Linked DNA regions of Macaca fascicularis. The protein of the gene in region 2 binds, or shares a complex with, the protein of the main gene of each other region. Links are inferred from orthologs where the notes say so. Each region holds a gene or a part of one and is shown on either strand. Other genes may lie near its edges.

What was found. The genes of interacting proteins can lie anywhere in the genome.
Region 1: CUL7 (region 2) and CCDC8 share a complex: the UniProt entries of both Homo sapiens proteins name them as parts of the 3M complex. The link is inferred for Macaca fascicularis from reciprocal best matches to the Homo sapiens genes CUL7 and CCDC8.

What each region holds. Positions count from the first base shown.
Region 1 is NC_088393.1:54,433,426-54,440,566, reverse strand, and holds CCDC8 (coiled-coil domain-containing protein 8), read left to right. Parts: upstream 1-2,674; 5' UTR 2,675-3,475; coding exon 3,476-5,116; 3' UTR 5,117-5,739; downstream 5,740-7,141. UniProt on the Homo sapiens protein: Core component of the 3M complex, a complex required to regulate microtubule dynamics and genome integrity. It is unclear how the 3M complex regulates microtubules, it could act by controlling the level of a microtubule stabilizer.
Region 2 is NC_088378.1:128,475,798-128,483,086, reverse strand, and holds the start of CUL7 (cullin-7), read right to left. Parts: upstream 3,879-7,289; 5' UTR 3,875-3,878; coding exon 3,727-3,874; exon of another isoform or gene 3,638-3,726; intron 3,374-3,637; exon of another isoform or gene 3,278-3,373; intron 2,792-3,277; coding exon 2,111-2,791; intron 1,766-2,110; coding exon 1,614-1,765; intron 1,471-1,613; coding exon 970-1,470; intron 408-969; coding exon 269-407; intron 169-268; coding exon 1-168. Other genes in the region: MRPL2 (large ribosomal subunit protein uL2m), read right to left, coding at 4,245-4,457, 5,526-5,599, 5,881-5,991, 6,065-6,180, 6,291-6,429. UniProt on the Homo sapiens protein: Core component of the 3M and Cul7-RING(FBXW8) complexes, which mediate the ubiquitination and subsequent proteasomal degradation of target proteins. Core component of the 3M complex, a complex required to regulate microtubule dynamics and genome integrity.

The DNA of each region.
Region 1 (7,141 bases), on a different chromosome or scaffold from region 2:
CGATCTTGTCTCACTGCAACCTCCGCCTACTGGGTTCAACCAATTCTCGTTCTTCAGCCTCCCCAGCTGGGATTACAGGCAGGTGCCACCACGCCCGGCTAATTTTTGTATTTTGTTTGTTTCGTTTTGTTTTGTTTTTTGTTTGGTTTTTGAGACGGAGTTTCTCTCTTGTTGCCCAGGCTTGAGTGCAATGGCACAGTGTCAGCTCACTACAACCTCTGCCTCCCAGGTTCAAGCGATTCTCCTGCCTGAGCCTCCCGAGTAGCTGGGATTACAGGCATGCGCCACCATGCCAGGCTAATTTTGTATTGTTAGTAGAGGCGGGGTTTAACCATGTTGGCCAGGCTGGTCTCGAACTCCTGACCTCACGTGATCCACCCGCCTCAGCTTCCCAAAATGCTGGGATTACAGGCGTGAGCCACCGTGCCCGGCATTTTTAAATTTTTTTAGTAGAGATGGAGTTTTGCCATGTTGGCCAGGCTGGTCTCAAACTCCTGACCTCAGGTGATCCACCGGCCTCAGCCTCCCAAACTGCTGGGATTAAAGGCGTGAGCCATGGCGCCCAGCCTGAGATGGAGAATTTTCAAAAGAGTAGAGACAGATGGGACCTAAGTTTTTAAAAGATGCCCCCAGCTTCTGGGTGGGGCCTGGATTGCAAGCAGTGATGGGGAGGCAGGGAGCCCAGTCAGGGGGATTTGTACACATCCAGGCAAGACAGCCTGCAAGTATTATGGCTGTTAAGGGGTTAAATGGTTCAACGCATTTAGGAGAATGAGATTAGCTGTGTCTTTAGCGTCTGCTACTGTTTATGCTAGTGCCCAAGATCTGGTTCTAATATTAGATCCACCACTCGGAGCTGTGCAACTTCAGACCGGCCTCAGTTTCCCCATCTGTAAAAAGATGATTGATGGCACTGGCCTTATTACCATGTACCTCTCAGAATTCCTAACAAGGAGGCCTATTCAGCATATCTCTTGATGCCTGGTTCCAAAGATGTGGACCAATGCTAGTCGCAAGTACTGTAGCAGGAGGAGCTTCCGACAAAACCCCTCAAACACCGGGTTAAGGAAGGATTTGGCTTTATTCCGACGGGAGCTTCAGCAGACTCGCCTCTCCACTGCCGGGAGCTTCGGTAGACTCGCGTCTCAAGAACCGAGCCTACTAGCATTGGTCCACATCTTGACTGTGTGTGTGTGTGTGTTTTTTTGTTTGTTTGTTTGTTTGTTTTTTACATGGAGTCTCGCTCTGTTGCCCAGGCTGGAGTGCAGTAGTGCGATCTCGGCTCACTGCAACCTCGGCCTCCCGGGTTCAAGAGATTCTCCTGCCTCAGCTTCCAGAGTAGCTGGGACTACAGGCACATACCACCACACCTGGCTAATTTTTTTGTATTTTTAGTAGAGACGGGGTTTCACCACGTTAGCCAGGATGGTCTTGATCTCCTGACCTCGGAATCCGCCTGCCTTGGCCTCCCAAAGTGCTGGGATTACAGGCGTGAGCCACCATGCCCGGCCATCTTGACTCTTTGGTGGGCACAAAAGGCAGACTATTCTGGATTCAAATCCAAACTCAACCACTCCCCCTGGCTGTGACCTTGAAAGAGTGGTTTTATGTCCTTGGGCATCAGTTTCTTCAGCTGTCTAATGGGAGTTGTACTCATGCTACCAGTCTCCTGCTATAGCAAGGATTTCCTGAGTTCATTCATAGAAAGCACTGGGAATGGTGCCTACTACACAAGAAGCGCCTCATAAACCGTGCCTATCCTTAGCCATCTCATTCTTTTTTCAAAGTTGCAAAATATTTCACTGTAAGATACTACCATAAAATAGAGGCAGTATCTACTCATGAACTTTTAGGCTTTTTTGTTGTTGTTTATTTGTGGGGTTTTTTTGGTTTTGTTTTTTGTTTTTTTTTTTTTTTTTTTTTTTTTTTTGTTTTTGTTTTTTTGAGACAGAGTCTCCCTCTGTTGCCCAGGCTGGAGTGCAGTGGCGCCATCTCTGCAACCTCCACCTCCCGGGTTCATGCCATTCTCCTGCCTCAGCCTCCCGTGTAGCTGGGACTACACACGCACACCACCACACCCGGCTAATTTTTGTATTTTTTGTAGAGACGAGGGTTTCACCATGTTGGCCAGGCTGGTCTCGAACTCCTGGCCTCCAAGTGTTCCACCCGCCTAGGCCTCCCAAAGTGCTGGGATTACAGGCATGAGCCACCGCGCCTGGCTATGAACATTCAGGTTTATTCATCCACTCAAAAATATGTAGAGCCCTGACCTCCTGCCAAGCGTCACAGGGGGACTGTTGCAATAAGATCCCGGTACCCATTTCTCTACCCACGCGTCTGGGTGTACGGGTACGGATAGTCGCGTGAATTTAAAATGCTAATCTATGGTGCCAGTGGCTCTCAAAAGGTAGAATCCACTGGCACACCCACCTCCAGGACTTGGCTGGAAACTTGTACATTTCGGATGGCAGGTTTGGGAACCGCTGCCTTTCAGCAAAGGTGCTGACGTGGGCCACCGCCGCTTCGCTGGGAAGCAATGGGCCCAGCTAGGCCCCAGGCGCGGCCACACCCCTGTGGGGGAGGGGAAGGAGGCTGCCCCGAAGAGAGTGGACAGCCCCCCTGTCAGTCTTCCAGAGTCTGGGAGTGTAAGATGAGACGGGGGAAGGTGGGCCTCATTCTGGCGGAGGGCAAGGAGGAACTTCCTGCTGGTGCGCTCCACCGTGCAGAGCCCTAAGCGCGCGGGCTGGCAGGCTGCGGCGCGTCAAGGTCAGCCTGGAGCTGGGTGGTGGCCTGCCTGGGGGCGGGGGACCCTACTGGGGGGCCGGGCTGAGGCCTCTCAGCGCCTCCGCCATATTGAATAGCCTCGACTGGACCGTCTTTGTCTGCGAAGTCCTCTCCCAAGTTCCAACCGCGTCCCAGGGGCCTGGGGCAGGAAGAATCGCTGGCAGCCCGCGCGCCCCAACTTGGAGCCGGGACACCACGTTTCCAGCTTGGAGTGGGCCTTGAACCTTGGGACTGACCTCGCCCCCGGCTCACGTAGGCATCCTGGAAATTGATTCTCCCAAGTCCTTGGTGGAGGAGCCGGACTTGGTCAAGACTGGACTTGTTGCAGGAGAAGAGATTGGAGGCGTTGACTCGTCCCTGGCTGGGGAGGTGAGACTCTGCGGTCAGCGTTGCTGGGACTCCCCCCATCCAGTCCCTCCCTCAAGACTAAGGGCTACAGTAGTTTGTTGGGGCTCTTTGCTCCCTCACCCCAGATATCACCCTGGAGATCTTAAAGACTCTCGAGAAAAGCCACGTGGGGGGCTGGTTCCCCTGGGGCTTCCTCCCGTCCCCCGACTGCCTCATTCTTTGGAGCGTCCCCGATGTCTGCAAAGATGTGGATTTGGACGTCCTCGTGGAAGCCCTAAAACCCGTGGGAACATTTAAGAAGATCGGCAAGGTGTTCCGCAAGGAGGAGGACTCCACGGTGGGGATGCTGCAGATCGGGGAGGACGTCGACTATTTGCTCATCCCCCGGGAGGTCAGGCTGGCCGGGGGCGTCTGGAGAGTCATCTCTAAGCCTGCCACCAAGGAAGCAGAATTTCGGGAGCGGCTGACCCAGTTCCTGGAAGAACAGGGCCGCACCCTGGAGGACGTGGCCCGCATCATCGAGAAGAGCACCCCGCACCCGCCCCAGCCCCCCAAAAAGCCCAAGGAGCCCCGAGTGAGGAGGAGAGTGCAGCAGATGGTGACTCCTACGCCCCGGCTGGTCGTGGGCACGTATGACAGCAGCAACGCCAGCGACAGCGAGTTCAGCGACTTCGAGACCTCCAGAGACAAGAGCCGCCAGGGCCCGCGGCGGGGCAAGAAGGTGCGCAAAATGCCCGTCAGCTACCTGGGCAGCAAGTTCCTGGGAAGCGACGTGGAGAGCGAGGATGATGAGGAACTGGTGGAGGCATTTCTCCGGCGACAGGAGAAGCAGCCCCCCGCGCCGCCTGCCCGCCGCCGCGTCAACCTGCCAGTGCCCATGTTTGAGGACAACCTGGGGCCTCAGCTGTCCAAGGCGGACAGGTGGCGGGAGTATGTCAGCCAGGTGTCCTGGGGGAAGCTGAAGCGGAGGGTGAAGGGTTGGGCGCCGAGGGCGGGCCCCGGGGTGGGCGAGGCCCGGCTGGCCTCCATCCCAGTGGAGAGCGCAGGGGTATCCTCCGGCACCAGCCCCGGGGATCCCGGGGATCCTGTGGAAAATGTGGGAGATGTCTGTGCCCCGCAGGCCTCCCCTAGGCGATGGAGGCCCAAGATCAACTGGGCCTCGTTTAGGCGCCGCAGGAAGGAGCAGACAGCGCCCACAGGTCAGGGGGCAGACATCGAGGCTGATCAGGGGGAAGAGGCTGCAGATAATCAGAGGGAAGAGGCCATAGCTGACCAGGAGGAAGAGGCTGCAGGTAATCAGAGGGCAGGGGCCCCAGCTGACCAGGGGGCAGAGGATGCAGATAACCATAGGGAAGAGGCTGCAGATAATCAGAGGGAAGAGGCCATAGCTGACCAGAGGGAAGAGGCTGCAGGTAATCAGAGGGCAGGGGCCCCAGCTGACCAGGGGGCAGAGGCTGCAGATAACCATGGGGAAGAGGCTGCAGATAATCAGAGGGCAGAGGCCCCAGCTGACCATAGGCCACAGGGTGCAGATAACCTGAGGGAAGAGGCTCTAGCTGACCAGGGGTCAGAGGCTACAGATCCTCAAAGGGAAGAGGCCATACATGACCAGAGGGAAAGGGCCCCAGCTGTCCAGCGTGCAGGTAATCAGAGGGCACAGGCCCGGGCTGGCCAAAGGGCAGAGGCTGCACATAATCAGAGGGCAGGGGCCCCAGGTATCCAGGAAGCTGAAGCCTCAGCTGCCCAAGGGGCCACAGGAACAGCTTCAGGAGCCAGGGCCCGGAAACAGGTCAAGACAGTGAGGTTCCAGACCCCTGGACGCTTTTCGTGGTTTCGCAAGCCCCGGAGAGCCTTCTGGCACACTCCCCGGTTGCCAACCCTGCCCAAGAGAGTCCCCAGGGCAGGCGAGGCCAGGAGCCTCAGGGTGCTGAGGGCCGAGGCCAAAGCAGAAGCTGAACAGGGAGAGCGAGAAGACCAGCTGTGAGGTGAGGGCTAGAGACAGCCCACGGGCCCTCCCTACAAGCGTGGGAGAGAAAGTTGCTCTTTCTGCCTCTGAACTTGAAAGTGGAGTTGGAGTGCTGCCCACATCTCCACCTTACAACCCTCTTTATTCTCTTGTTAAAGTTTTGTCTCATGCGTTGATTTTTAAAAAATTTTTTAGAGACAGGGTCTCACTCTGTTGCCCAGGCTGGAGTGCAGTGGCATGATCACTGCAGCCTCAAACTTCTGGCCTCAACTGATCCTCCTGCCTCGGCCTCCCAAAGTGCTGGGATGACAGGTGTGAGCCACCACACGTACCACCTGATAAAATATATATATATATATATACACACACACACACACACACATATATATACTGATTCCTTGTAGCAACCCAAAAAATGTAAAGAAAGAATTCGATACAAGGGGGTTCTGTCACCTATAGTTTTAATTTCCTCAAATGCAACTCAAGGTGCTCAGCTTGATAAAAGGAGAGCGGGAGGGCAGGGGAGAAATTGCCTGCTTTTCCTGTCCCTTTTTTGCCTGCACACTTAACGTGGACTGCCTCCTTGGACTTAAAAAGAGGACTTGAGCCAACATGCAAATAAAAAAACATTTATGAACTGGTTTCTTAGCTTTGGACTTGGCAACTGACGAATGCTCTGGGGGTGACCCGGCCCTTCCTGTCCGTTCTACTCCCATCCTTGAAGATGGAGACACCTGTGTTTATGTTGTCACTTCGCTTGCCATCCTCATGCCCCTGGACTCTGCTGCTTTGGAGGGGACAGGGCCCTTGGTTTGCATACCTCTCCCGATCTTGGTTGTAAGGTACAGTAAAAGCATCTGAAAAATGCGTTCAAAACACAGATTCTGGGGCCCTCAGCATCAGAGATGTGGATTTGCTAGCGGTGCCTGTGTGGCTCTGAATTCTGTTTGCATCAAGCTTCCAAACATCTGGGCAATTCGGCCATTGGACACATTGAAAACTCATTGCAATAAGAAAAGGCCTAAAAGAGGGGCTGTGGTTGGCTGGACGTGGTGGCTCACACCTGTAATCCCAGCACTTAGGGGGGCCGAGGCGGGTGGATACAAACAAGGTCAAGAGATCAAGACCATCCTGGCCAACATGGTGAAACCCTGTCTCTACTAAAAATACAAAAATTAGCCTGGCCTGGTGGTGCACGCCTGTAGTCCCAGCTACTCGGGAGGCTGAGGCAGGAGAATCTCTTGAACCCGGAAGGTGGAGGTTGCAGTGAGCCGAGATCGCACCATTGCACTCCAGCCTAGTGACAGAGTGAGACTCTGTCTCAAAAAAAAAAAAAAAAAAAAAAGGCTGTGTGTATTGTGCATTAATTGCTTGTGCATTAATTGCTGCTGCTGGTTCTTTTTTTTTGAGATGGAGTCTCTGTCACCCAGGCTGGAGTATGGTGGCGCGATCTCGGTTCACTGCAACCTCCGCCTCCCGGGTTCAAGTGATTCTCCTCCCTCAGCCTCCCGAGTAGCTGGGACTACAGGCGTGTGCCACCACACCTGGTTAATTTTTGTATTTTTAGTAGAGATGGGGTTTCACCATGTTGGCCAAGCCTGTCTTGAACTCCTAACCTCAACTGATCCGCCCACTTCAGCTTCCCAAAGTGCTGGGATTACAGGCATGAGCCACTGCGCCCAGCCAACTGCTTCCTATGATTGGGAAGAAATTGGGTTGCTAAGGCCCTGTGGAGGTTGGGAGGAAGCTGGGGGCCTCTCTCTGTATTGCCTTGTGTCCCCACAACCCCCAGCAGTGAAAAACAGCAAATGACCAGACTCGAGCCTTGCTGAGGGCAGGAGAAAAGGGAGTTTATGGAGGTCCAGGGGCCAGTCTGTCTTCCTAACTGGTTGCAGGCCTGGCCTAAGTTTCTTACTTTTTTTCTCTGGAAAGTAAAGAATTGTATCCCACCACCCTCCTTTTGTCTTTCTCTCTTCCACGCTCCTCCCTCCCTCCCTTCCTTCCCCTCCTTCCCCTCCTTCCCCTCCGCTCCCCTCCCTCCCT
Region 2 (7,289 bases):
GGAGAACCTCCTGATGGTCAGGTCCATCCAGCTTCTTGATGAAGAAGAGGAGTTCCCACCACTCAGCCAGGGTCAGGTGTTCACACTCCTCAGTGTCCTCATCCTCAGGCAGCACATAAGGCACAGCATAGAGTTCCGTCATGGGCCTCCAGCGCCAGGCGGGCAGGGCTGTGGAAATGGGCCGAGGGGCACAGGGATGTCACTAGCAACTGAGCAGGACCACCGTTACTCTGCTCAGAGCTGACCCTTGCTTACTCCCTGAGCTCACCTCTACCCAGGACTCTACTGGCCACCGCCCCTTGGTACTCATCAGCCTCAACCATGTCCTCAACGTCTTCCTCAAAGCCCAAGATCTCCAGCATGTGCCAGTGCACCCAATAGGTGCGGCCTGTTAACTCCCACAATACCTGGAGAATAGGGAAAGAAAGAGAGGGAAGGGGAAGGGAGGACTCACTAATGACTGGCTGTGGCCTAGTACTGAGGACTTATAGCCCTCAGGGTGACCACCTGGCCAGGTTTTAGAAAAACCTTCATATAACAAAACAGCAGCATATGGAGTATACACACACACACACACACACACACACACACACACACACACACACACAAAGGATGCCCTCTCCTTTGGGGGATGGGCCTGTCTTTCCTCTCACCCTATCTTTCACGGCTTATGCCCCCACACTTCCTTCTGGCCTCTACCACTCCATCTCCCTGACCCTGACCTTTGGAGGAGTCTGGCTATATCAGTTTCTTCCTGTGTGAGTCTTCTTGACTTCACAGCCTCCTAAACCCAGATTTTCCAGCTCTCAGAATGGCCCGCCTCTCAACTACTGACTCTTTTTCACCATCCCAATCTTATAGAAAGCTTTCTCTTTGGGTGGTCTGCTGGAGCCCCTCTGTATGGAAGCCCCAACTCTGCCCCACCCCAAATAGACCCCTAACAGTGTCCCACCACCATATGCCACTCACCTGCACAGGAGGCACGCCGCTGTTGCTCTGCCGAAACTCGCCCTCATCCCCGGCACTGATCTCCTCATAATCATCCAGCATCCGCACTCGCATCCCCGGCTGCAGTGTGTCCCGCACATACAAGGCATAGGTATTGCCGCTTGCAAACTCAGAACGAGGGCGAAAACGTCTTGACCTCCTGAAGGAGGGCTGAGCCTGGGCAGTGGGGAACCCTGGGCTCACATCTGCCAGCTGAGGCTGGAAGATGGAACCGGGGAACCGTGCTGAGCTCCTTGGTCTGTCTGTGGCCTGGTCCCAGCGCATGGCTTGCACCAGCTCCGAGATCAGGGTGCCCATGGCCATACTGAACTCCAGCTCCAGTTGACCCCTCTTCCCACTCAACTCCTCAGGAGCAGAAGTGTTCTGGGCTCCTGGCTCCGCAGCACTGTTGTTCAGCTGATCCAGGAGCGAGGTGACATGCAAATACCGCTTCACGAGGGAGAAGAGCACCCTTCCTGGGACCTGTGGGATACAACCTTTGGCCTACATCCACCTTGTCCCAGTTTAAGACCCTCTCTCCATACCATCCTCTGTAGATAGGTGCAAAGGCCTGGTCCCTAGATCTTGTTCACAAGCTCCCCCTACCTTATACCCCCAAAGGTTACCTGTGGTAGCTGAATGCCCTCAAAAGACATGGGATGTTCAGAGAGCGTGGCCTGTGCAAACAGTGCTAGCAGAGCACAGCGGCTGTCAAAATCCAGGTGTTTCTCAATGGCTTCTTGTTGGCTCAGTGACAGAAGGATTTGAGTCCGGGTCCCTGTAACCCATATCCCAATTAGTAACTTCTCCCTAATCTCACCCTTCCTAGAAATCTTAGACCCTCTATTCTTTCAATCCAATCCTTTTGCCACCACACAATGGGAAAGAACTGATTTGCTTCAAAAGCTAAAATTTGACAACTTATATACATACACACACGCACATAAACACCATCTACAATAGTCTAAACTGTAAATTCTTCCTTTGCATAAAAAGCAACTAATTAATATGAGGTTATTGAAGATAGTCTTTCCTCTTTTGGCAGATAACCCCCACCCTCACTCCCATTCCCACCTCCTTTTCTTCCAACTCTAAGAGAAGGGCAACAGAATCATTTACGTACTGATGAGATCAGAGGCTCCTGCCACAGTGTCCTGTGAGTCCCTGAGCCGACCCAGCCCTTCTGCTTTCCCTTCCTCCCCACACTGCCCCTCACCAGCATCATGGGAGGACAGGGCTTGTATCATCCGGCCTGCGCTCCAGCGAATCTGATAATCGGGACTACTCAACATGTGCATGAGCAAGTCCAGGACTCTTGGGTCCTTGAATACCCCAGTGAGGGGCTCGATGCTGGCATAGGCGCTGAGCACGTGGACAGTGTGAAGTAGAGGAGCAGGAGGGATGGTGCCCACACACTCCTCCAGCTGCCGAAGGGCTCTCTGAATGAGGGACTTCACATCGGTTTCCATCTCCTCCAGCACAGATTTGTCCAGGGCCCCAACCTCCCCTGCAGACTCCTGGGAGGGCCCGATGACCTGGCCATCCTCGCCCAGCATCTTGTGGCAGTTGGCATAGATCTCATCCTTGGACATCCACAGCAGGATGTGCTCAGCCTTGCAGTCCACTTGGCCAGAGCCCCCGTCACCCTCATCGGCACGCCGCAGGATGAGCCAACGGATCTGGTACTCAGGATGCCCATCATGGCCCACTCGCTGGCGGATCAGCTCATCAGGATAGGCATGTAAGCCAGGCCCCAGGGGCACCCTGAATTCCCTGTAGCGGAGTTCCCCCACCATCCTGGCACCTGGAGCACACAAGGAAAAGAGAACAGACAAGCTAGAGTAAGGAGAGGTCAGAAAATCAAAGACATCCAGGAGGTGGGAAAGCAAATGGCAACAGCTGTCAGGCGGGGTGGGGTAAAGCCAGGCCCAGGAGTTGCATGCTGCATGCTGAGTCGGGGCAGGCCTAAGCAGAGAACTACTGGGGTGTTTTGTTGTGAAATAACACAAAATTTGGGGGCTAAAAGGAAGGTCCCCAAGACCCTGAGGCCTGGAGTGGGTTGGTTTGGAACAGTGGGCAGACTAGTGGGGGCAGGCAGGGCAGCCTTGGAGTTACAAGTGAATCCCAAGGCCTTGAAACAGGCAGCTACCCTGGGGATATGTGAAGCCCAGAGGGCTATGTTTGGGAGGGAGATCCTGAGTGTGTGTGGAAAGGGGTGCTGTCTCTAAGGATTGGAGCATGGGAGTGTGAGACCCAAGTTAAGAGTCCCGAGATCGCAGAATTAAGAGACCTGAGAACTGGTGGTGGAGTGGGAGGGCAAGGCGCGATGGACTGGGAGGAGGCACTGGTGGGTTGGAGGCGCCTCTGACTGGAGCGACTGGAGCAACTGGAACAAAAGGGCTGGTGGGGGCGCCGCGAGACCCAGGGCAGGGTGCACAGACAAGGTAGGTGAGGGGCGCGAGGCTTGGGGGACCGAGGTTGGAGACCCGAGAAGCCAGGGGCGCGCGGTAAAGTGGGGGAGGGGGGATTAGGCCCCATAAACTAGAACCCCGAGGCCCAGTAGGATGGGGAACCGAGGTTGGGTGAGCGCAAGGCTCGATGGGCAAGTGGGCAGGAGAGGAGCAAGGGGCCGCGGCGGGGCTCTGGCCACCTCAGAAGTCCACCGGGGTCCTGGCGCGAGGCCTGTCCTTCACAGAGCAAGGGACGCGGCACAGATGCTGGCGGCGACTCGGGCCCCACCTGGGCCCCGCGAGGGGGTCGAGACGGAGAGACAGGAAGGGGCGTGCCTCTGCGGAACAGAGCGGCAGCCGCCTGGGTCGGCAGCCACTGGGGCAGGGTGGAGCCTGGTCCCTGCCAGCGTCTCCGCCAGCCAAAAGCCACGGCTCATTTCCGCCGGACCCAGCGGAAGGCTAGGGGCCCTGGGAAAGGGCCGGGGAGGAGCCGCGGATGCCACCTTGGCGACGCAGCACCTCCTCCTCTGCGCCGCCCTTTCCTCTTCCTTTTGTCCTCCCTCCTGCGGAAGTGCCCACCCTGTTTCCCAGTCACAACTGGAAAAGGCCTTGGACGTCATTTATTTCCACCCCCGGCTCCATTACCTGTAAGGGAATTGGGGTGGGGACAGACCCAGTGTCCTGTACTTTCTTTTCCTCCCACACTTTTTACTTCTTTTCCCCACGTTCAGTCTGTACCATCCCCTCCCGCAAAAAACCAGTAACAGATTACAGGAGGGGGAGGCATTTTATTAGAGTACAGGGATATCAGCTTTGGGCAGCAGCAGAAGGCAGCTTCACGTAACTCTTCATAGGGGGTAGTGGCCGAATCTTTCGGCCAGCCCAGCCTCCCTTGCGGTGCCATCGCCCACTGTTAGGCCTCTTGCCCAGCCAGCGGTTGCGACCTGCCTTGCCAATGACCCGTTTGTTATGATCAACGTTGGATACTCGGCCTACTGTTGCTATGCACGTTTCCAGCACCTGACAGAGAAAACAGATGGAGATTCTATACAATGTGGGGGAAAGAGCTTGACAGTGTTGACAGCAAAACCCTTGGGGGGCTTCTTAGACTCAAGGAGAGGAGAGAGGAAAAAGGAAAAGCACAAGATGGTTGAAGCTAAGTGAAGGTCCTACAGTAGGAACTAGGTAGTTGAAAACAAAGAGCTGGGCGCAAGGACTCAGGCCGGTAATCCCAGCACTTTGGGAGGCCGGGGCTGGAGGATCACTTGAGCTCAGAAGTTCGAGACCAGCCTGGGCAACATAATGAGACCCCATCTCTACAAAAATAAAAAATATTAGCCAGGGCCAGGTGCAGTGGGTCACACCTGTAATTCCAGCACTTCGGAAGCCTAGGCAGGCAGATCGCTTGAGCTCAGGAGTTTGAGACCAGCCTGGCCAACATGGTGATACCTTGCCTCTACAAAAATACGAAAATTAGCCTGGTATAGTGGCGTGCGCCTGTAGTCCCAGCTACTTGGGGGGCTGAGGCAGAATTGCTTGAACCCAGGAGTTTGAGGCTGCAGTGAGCTGACTGTGCCACTGCACTCAAGCAATAGGGACCCTGTCTCAAAAAAAATTAGGGTCGAGCACAGTGGCTCACTCCTGTAATCTCAGCACTTTGGGAGGCCAAGGCAGGCGGATTACGAGGTAAGGAGTTCGAGACCAGCCTGGCCAACGTGGTGAAACCCCATCTCTACTAAAACACAAAAATTAGCCAGCTGTGGTGGTGCATGCCTGCAATCCCAGCTACTCAGGAGGCTGAGGCAGGAGAACTGCTTGAACCTGGGAGGTGGAGGTTGCAGTAAGCCAAGATCGTGCCACTGCACTCCAGCCTGGGCGACAGAGCAAGACTCTGTCTCGAAAAAAAAAAAATTACTTATGGTGCCAATCCGACAAAGCACACCTAAGTCATGTGGCAGAAAAGGACAGCCTTAGCTCAAGGCAGTTCCTTGCATCATAAAACACCTGGGACCTACCTACCCCAGACAGGAAAGTTATATTCCAAAAATTCCTCCTTTGCTGACCCCTCCCAGCCATACCCATACACACCTGCATCTGCCTCTTAGACGGCAGCTGGATAATGGCTGTGCCATTCACCTTCCGCAGTAGCACACCACACGTCCCTGGGGAAAGAAGCTGATCTGCCACCCTCCACAAAACGGGGGGGTGCAGAGGAATTTACACAGGGGCCACATCCCATATGCTGCCCTTGCTTTGCTCTTTAGGAACAGATACACAAAGAAGGATGCATGCTACATTTTAGGTCAAAACACATGCATATCTTCATCCTCATGTTTCTTGTTTTTTCCTTAATTTTCTCTGCCAGTACCAGATGTGGAACCATGGGTTCAGACTCTCCTTGCCTTTCCAAACTATAGGACCCAGGCAACTCCTTTCCCCATACCTGCAGCTCGGATATATTGGGCACCCCGGCCTGGCTCACTTTCCACGTTGTTGATGAGGGTCCCCACAGGCAGAGCCCCAAGAGGATGCGCATCCCCTTCCCGAGCAGCAACTAAAAGACAGGATTTCATTAGCTCTAGAACCTTTGCTGCCTCCAGCCCACACATCTGGTAGCCATCTCTCACCTGCCATTCTGCCTATGTGGTTAGAGTTCAAGACTGTATCTCCAGCCTGCATGTTTTCTGTGGCGATGATCCAGCGTTTCCGGCTGCCCCCAGCAACCAGAGCTATGTCTGCTGACCTGATCAGGGTGAGGGACAGGTAAGCAGACCATCTAGGCAGCCCTATATCTCCTGAGAAGCTATGCAGTTATTCAGACCATTCCATCATCATCCCACATCCCAAACTTGCCTACAGGGATCATAGCGGACTTGGATAACCTTCTCCTCAAAGGGTCCTGACTTGGTCTCCTCAGGCCGGAAACGCAGAAAATCAATCATGCGATAACGTTGCTTGTGGCCCCCACCAATACCATGCACCCGGATTCGGCCTGTGGTTTAGGACAGTTGGGGGATATGATTCAGGTGAGAGTAGTTCAGTTTCCAGCACTGGGACCTGGCCCATTCTCTGCCAGAGAGCACTGCTTACAGAGAATGATCACAATTTGCACAGCACACTGGAGTAAGGAGGGTCAACACCAACATGAAGCTAAGTGAAAAAACATTACTGAAATTGTATAAAACTTCCAGATAAAATATTTTCAAATTACTGAAATCAATAAGTTTACTAGAGTCATGTAAATCATACTCAAATAATTTCAACTGTTATTTTTTGTGCATGTGACAGGGTATCACTCTGTTGCCCAGGTTGGATCCTGACCTCAAGTGATCCTCCCGCCTTGGCCTTCTAAAGTGTTGGGATTAAAGGCAGGAGCAACCACACCCAGCCTGTTATAAATATACACATTTTTTGAGACGAGTCTTGCTCTGTTACCCAGGCTGGAATACAATGGCGTGATCTCGGCTCACTGCAACCTCCACCTCCTGGGTTCAAGTGATTCTCCTGCCTCAGCCTCCTGCGTAGCTGGGATTACAGGTGCCTGCCACCACACCTGGTTAATCTTTTTTTTTTTCAGTCAGAGTCTTGCTCTGCTGCCCAGGCTAGAGTGCAATGGCGCGATCCTGGCTCACTGCAGGCTCCACCTCCCAGGCTCAAGTGATTCTCATGCCTCAGCTTCCTAAGTAGCTGGGATTACAGGATTGCACCACTACACCTGGCTAATTTTTATATTTTTAGTAGAGATGGGGTTTCACCATGTTGGTCGGGCTGGTCTTGAATTCCTGGCCTCAAGTGATCTGCCTGCCTTGGACTCTCAAAGTGTTGGGATTATAGGTGTGAGCCACTGCACCT